2 linked regions of the Ovis aries genome follow. The protein of the gene in region 1 purifies or fractionates together with the protein of each later gene. This does not show direct contact. Links are inferred from orthologs where the notes say so. Each region holds a gene or a part of one and is shown on either strand. Other genes may lie near its edges.

What was found. The genes of interacting proteins can lie anywhere in the genome.
Region 2: the proteins of CUL2 (region 1) and cyclin-dependent kinase inhibitor 2A purify together in Homo sapiens (affinity purification with western blotting; 3 studies listed by BioGRID, with this or other methods). This does not show direct contact. The link is inferred for Ovis aries from reciprocal best matches to the Homo sapiens genes CUL2 and CDKN2A.

What each region holds. Positions count from the first base shown.
Region 1 is NC_056066.1:17,725,054-17,727,946, forward strand, and holds the end of CUL2 (cullin-2), read left to right. Parts: intron 1-827; coding exon 828-944; intron 945-1,690; coding exon 1,691-1,822; 3' UTR 1,823-2,337; downstream 2,338-2,893.
Region 2 is NC_056055.1:90,755,924-90,759,675, reverse strand, and holds the start of cyclin-dependent kinase inhibitor 2A, read left to right. Parts: upstream 1-975; 5' UTR 976-1,304; coding exon 1,305-1,430; intron 1,431-3,752. UniProt on the Homo sapiens protein: Acts as a negative regulator of the proliferation of normal cells by interacting strongly with CDK4 and CDK6. This inhibits their ability to interact with cyclins D and to phosphorylate the retinoblastoma protein.

The sequences.
Region 1 (2,893 bases):
CATAGGTCTGGAGTAGAGTCCGACCTGGGATGAGCCAGTGTGCACCGTGAACATCCGCTGTTGACGTGGTGGTTCTTCTCGGGCAGCCTGTTCATATCACTGAGGATTTCCTTATTGCTTCCCATGTGCCACCCTGACCTTGGGCTTGAGGCAGGTTGTGAATGTATCAGATATGTCAGGCTCCTCTGGGAACTTAACTCCCCCCCAAGGTCAAATGTTAATCAGTTGCTATTCAGTTTGACCCCTAAAATGGTCAAGATCTCATGCCTGTAGGCAATGGTGATAACATGTGCTTCTATCTGTTAGCTGCTGTGAAGTCCCTGTTAATGTGGCACTGCCTGCTTCTGTGCCTTCCTGCCACTGTCTTCCCTTGAGCTCCACGGAGAGAGGCCCAGCCTTCCTGGCTTCTCTGCTTGAGTCAAATGGAGCCCTTCCCAGCTCTTGCCCTTGAAGCCTGATCCAGTATCCACTTGGAGCCAGTTGCTAAAGTCTGCAAGCTTTGTGGTATAAGTCTTTACTCACTCATAGGTCCGTGATCTTGAGACTTATTACTCTGTGTCACTTAAGTTCTACTTTCTTGACTATTTACACTGAGTACAATGTACAGTAGTGTTCATTTTTTAAAAAATAGCCTCCCCACTTTAACTTGAGAAATTATATATAACTCATAGATATTTTGGTAATGGTTATGTTATATTGGGCACATAGTCATATAGTTTGATTCTCAGTATTGATTGGAGATTTATTTAAACTCACAAATAAAAGGAGTTAAAAACAAGTGCAGTGACTGAGGGTCTCCTTTGCTTTTCATGGGCTTCCTAAAACAGGAAATGGAGCAGACGAGAAGTGCTGTAGACGAAGACCGGAAAATGTACCTCCAGGCTGCTATAGTTCGTATCATGAAAGCGAGAAAAGTACTGCGGCATAACGCCCTTATTCAAGAGGTAAAAGGGGAAAGCCCTGAAGACTTCTTGGCAGAGAGTATGAGAATTAGGCATGTTTCTTTGTGAAGATGATACAGAAACCTGTGACTCCTGCATAGCATAAAGAAATGCTTTTTGTTTCTGAAAGAGAACAGCGCTCATAAATCCAGTATTAAATTCACTTTTAGATTTAGAGGTCTGAGCCTTGTGTCCAGTTATTGAAGGAGGTCGCCGGCATCCACCACTCACTCGTGCCTTGAATTCACACGTGTCTCCCGTTTGGTGGAGTACTGTGCTGGTCGCCGTGGGGTGCACACCAGCTCAGGACATGGCTTCTGCCCTTTGGGAGTTCAGTGTCATAAGGAAGAAATGCATTACTGAAGTAATGTGTCAGTAAATATAAAATTACACTAATGTGCAACAGAGAAAAGGGATATGGTTCAATGAGAGTGTACACAGGTCTTGACTCAGGGGGTGTTAGGGAAAGCTTTCTTGAGCAGGTATTCCTTCAGCTAAGAGCCAGAAGTTGTTTAGGGATTAAATGGAAGCTCGAGGGCGTGTATGAATAGTTAATTAGTTTGCGATTTGATTTAGTATGTTATTAGGTTTGGCTGTATCTGTGCCCTTCACCATTTAAATTCCTTCACCTCAACGTTAAGACTATTCCACATAGTTTGCATGAAAAGGTATTTTTGTGCATTGCAGCAGAGTTGAACGAAGTGCTCCTGGCGAGAAGAGCATTTTTACCATCCACCTCTCTCCCACAGGTGATTAGCCAGTCAAGAGCTCGGTTTAACCCTAGTATCAGCATGATTAAGAAGTGTATTGAAGTCCTGATAGACAAACAGTACATCGAACGCAGCCAGGCGTCCGCGGATGAGTACAGCTACGTCGCGTGAGGCGGCGCTCCTCCAGCGTCGGTGTGAGAAGGTCGTTGCCGTCAGCATCCGGTGTGTGCCCGTGGGAGAAGGCAGGCCTGTGCCTCCATAATTTGGTCATTTGGCAGACCCTGTTTCTCTGCTGTTTACAACATCACCAGTGCCACGTCATGAGCGTCAGAGAAGATGCCTAGAGATATTTCAAGCTCATGTCATTATGACATTTCTTAAAACTTTATTAAAAAAAGGATGAGTGAAGTATTGCTGAAATGTGGAAATCTGGCTGGGTACCATGCTTTTTCTCCCCTTCACGTTTGCAGTTGATGTGGTTTTTTTTTTTTTTTTTTTTTTAATGTATCTTAAAGGACATAAGATTAAAAAAAAAACCTAAATATTGTAATATGACAGATAACCTAATAATTGTATCTACATTAAAATGACAAACATGATATTGCTGCTTGTCAAATAAAAAAATAAAGAAATAGAATGCCTTTTTTATGTGGATGGAGTATCACAATACAATGATCAGAAATGTCCGTGAGTCCTTGTGTTCCTGTTTAAATCCTATGTGAAAACGTCTCAGTTATTGTTTCTGAATGCCTTTAGCATAAAGGATGCGTTCAGCATAAGTGATGCTTTCTTTTAATGGATTAGAACTACAGTGGATGTGGGCCTTGTGAGGAGTGAGGCTGTGGTTCTGTCTCGAGTTTCTGGTGGTGTCCTGCTGCAGCACAGAACTGTGAGCGAGGGGATTGCGGTGACCTTGTGTCTGGCTTAGAAAGAGCCGCCATTCCCACCCAGGCTGTGTTACTTCTCTCCACAGTGCATCAGTTCTAATGTCTGACTCCCATCTGTTCCTTCCCTCCCGCCTTCCTCGGGGTCGTAGGTCATCCTGCGGTCCCGGTGTCTGCCTGTGCGTTCCCCTCGTACCCCTGCCTGCCTGTTACTCCCACCTCCTATCAGTTTGACACTAGATTCGCTCCTACGTCACAGATACTCTTAGCAATGCATAACCTAAATACTTTATTTTTCTGTATAGTGCATTACACCAGGTGCCGCTTTTATTGACATGAAAGTTCATTATTTTGTTTA
Region 2 (3,752 bases), on another chromosome or scaffold:
AAACCATTTCCTTCTCTGTCTCCTAGATTGCAAGAAAATCTTCAAAATGGATGTTAAGAGCTAACAGGCATGAGCTTAGGATGTGTGATACTGTTCTAAATGCTTATGTGTGTATCAATTCATTTAAAACTCAAAACAGTCCTAGGAAGTAGGGACACCTCTTATTCCCCCCTCCATTTTATAACTAAGAAAAGTGTAAGGTTTTTCTAACAGGAAGGAAAGGTGGACAGAAGTGGCACCAAGACAGTGTGTGAGCCTGCTTTCTGAATCATCTCCGAATGCAGCCCTGTCCCTAGAGCAATGAGCATGTTTTCTGGTGTAGGAGAAATTATTGAGAACAGAGCCTACTAAGCCCAAGGATACCCTTGCCACTTTCCTATCTGCGTACAGGTAGAAATCTCCACCATCCCTTTTAAATTGACCTCATCTGCTCGGAGCCAGCCCGTATACTGGGCACTAGTACCAGGCATTGTGCAAGCCTAGGAAACGCTCTCCCCCGACATCCGTTTTACATGTGTGTGGAGGGAGGGAGGCACAGCCTGGCGCGTGAGCCAGTTCTCCAGAAGGGACGTTTGAGCTAGAATTTCTGGCATAATCGAGCCAGCGCTCGAAAACCTGGTGCTGAGCGTTGGAGGGGGAGTGTATCCTCTCCAAGAAGGAAAGCCTCATGGTGGAATGGCTGATACCTATCCTGGGCGCTCGGGGCCAGGACAAGCTGGCTGTTTCTTCTGATTAAAAGAGGAAGCAATAACTTTGCCTATGACTCCAAACACACTGGTTCGAACTTGGCAGTTAGGAATCCTATGCAGTTGTCTCACGCCACTCAGGGTGTATACGCGAGGAATTTTCACTTGGCTGGAGTGAACTCGCTCGGAGCCGCGCGTGCGCCTCTGATGGGGGTGGGGGCGCGCTGCGCGCGGACGCGGGGCGGGGGGCGGGGAGGAGGTCCCAGGGCGCCCTCCTTTCGCGGTCCCGTCGCGCTACCGGAGCGGACAGCTTCCGGCCGGTGCCTCGGGTCGCGTGGGCGGCAGACCTGTGACCGAGGAGGCCCGGCGGGGGCTACTTCATAGACGTCTTGTTCGTTAGGAGCAAAGGGCGCCTCCTGGAAGAGCGCGTGGAGGGCGCTCCCCGGGTGGAAAGACTCCTCGGGAGGAGTCGAGGGGCCGAGTCTGGGGGCCGCTTCCGCCAGCCCCGTAGGAGGAAAGAGGAGGGGCGGGCTGCTCAGGAGCAGCCTGGGCGGGCCGCCCGCGCTCGACGCAGGCGGGAGGAAGGGAGGGAGCGAGGGGCGAGCTTTGGGGAGCAGCATGGAGACCTCGGCTGACTTGCTGGCCGCCGCCGCCGCGCGGGGCCGGGCTGACGAGGTACGGGCACTGCTCGAGGCTGGAGCGTTGGCCAACGCGCCGAACCGTTACGGTCGAAGCGCGATTCAGGTGGGTCAGCAGGTCTGCCGCGGAAAGGTGGGCGGCTGGGTGGGTGGGTGGATGGCGAGAGGCTTTGGAGGACGAGGTCCGCCAGTGAGTCGGAACCAGGTAAGCGTTTCTTGGTAAAGGGGAGACTTTTCAGACCGAGTTCGGGATCGGAGACCTCTCGGCGACTCTCAGGGGGCTCAGGACGGCCGCGGAGCTGGCTGAGAAGGCGCGTGGGGTTCAGATCTCTAAAACGGTGTGAAGATCTAGAAGGGAGAACCTACGTGTGTTAATATAGACCGATATGCGAAATTGACGAACGTCTGGAGTACGAGTATAAAGACAGTAAGACATGCTGGACCACTTACTCCCGAACTTATAAAATTGTGAATGGAGCTGATCGACTTCTTTGTTGGGGGGGGAGGGGCGGTGAGAGGGAGATTTCAGTGGAAATCTACTGCTGTGTAAGTTGGAATAAAGGTCGATTGAAATTATTCAGAAGCAACCATATATCGTGTTTATTATTTTTTTTTAACCGAGTAAGGAACATATATGCTTGTTTAGGAAATAGACATACATGAAAAAAAAAATTAGTGCAATTATGCCTGAAATAATGCTGCCAATTTAGTTACCACTTGAGTGTCTCTTACCTTTTGGGGTATTTTAAACTTACTTGGTATACATTAATTTCCTGGGAAGTTTTCAGTTCCTCATAGTTTAAAAAATGTCATTTCTCCTCTCCCCACTCCAGTTTTGTATGTGTGAGGATGAGTTGTGAGTTCGTTTTTCTGTGTGTGTGTGTGTGTGTGTGTGTGTGTGTGTTTTGCCTTCACTAACTTCCTAAATCTGGGGCTAAAAATAAATTCTTCCTGGCAGTCACTCCAGTTTTATTCCAGGTTTCGACAACGATTTCTGATTCTGAAAAATAATATTTATATGAAATGTACACTGCAAAAACTCCAGCATAACAAGACAAAGGAAAAGTAACTCAACCTGGAACTTAACAAGTGATTTCACAAGCGAATCGTCCTTTCCTCAAACTATGCTACATAGAACAGATATATTTTATATACTTTTAGATACAAAAATAAAAATAAAATATCCTCAAATCTGAGATTATTTGGGATTTGAAATGTGGAGAGATTTGGAGATTAAAAGGTTGAATGGTTGTAGAAGAGAAGCATGAGTTCTTTTTTTAAAAAATGCATGCATGATTCATAATTGGATATCTCTAAAGTTTTGCCAGCAGTTTGCAGACTGGGTGTTACAGCCTTCTAGTTCTGAAAGATGTTATATTAGACTTTATTGTTTAAATACAAAAAGAAAGATAATTAATTTTAAATTATTTTTAAATAGGATAAGGGCATCGACAAAAGGGATATGATTTTAGTTTTGAACCCTAACCAAATTTGTGTTTAAAAATACTTAGTTTATAGAAAAATTTTAATGACTAAATTAAATTTATATCTTCAGTTTGACTTAAGTACCCTAGAAATATTCATTTGAATGATTTTCTTTTTGCTTTGGATTGCTACTATGATTTAAATATTATGTTACTTTTCATACTTTAATACTGTAGCATATAATAATACCTTTAACCAATTTAATGACTAAGACCAAGGACTTCATTTATCCAACCCATGTAATATATTTTCACCTGCATTATATACAAGCATGGAAGGAGACATACATATATATATATGAGCTCTGGCACTTATAGTAGAGTTTCCAAAAGATTATGGTGTCCTTGGGTGTGGCCCCTTTGTTTTGGAAATTAATTCATAATCCATGAGAAATCCAATAGTGTAAATTTCCCCAGTTTTTATTTTAAAAAATTCTTTCTTCTAATGCACTGTTAGTTTTCCTTTTTGTAGCTGCAAGTTGGTTCACTTAAATTTTCTCTGTGGTTTTTTTTTTTTTTTTAATTAAATCAGTTTCACTTTCTCTAGGATAGAACTCAACAAGCATAGTATAACTTGTTAAGATTCCTTGGTTTGAACAAATTAATTCAAGTTTAATACAGAACTCAACTAAAAATAAATAATTCCTCAATATAGTGTAGCTAATGTAACCAAATAATGGTTACCCTAAAAAAGAATGTTCTATCACCTCCACCCAATGTATAACACTCAAATTGCAAAGTTGCTGTGATTGTGAACAATATTTCAAAATTCCTCTTTGGTAATGCTCTTGTATCATCAAAGATTATTTAGGAACCAAATGAAGTGAGCACCTCCTCTTTAATGAAGTCTGAGTGTGATCTTGGAAGGTGTCTTCCTATTTCTGCTATAACAAATTACCACAAATTTAGTATCAACATAAATTTATTATCTTATGGTTCTGTAA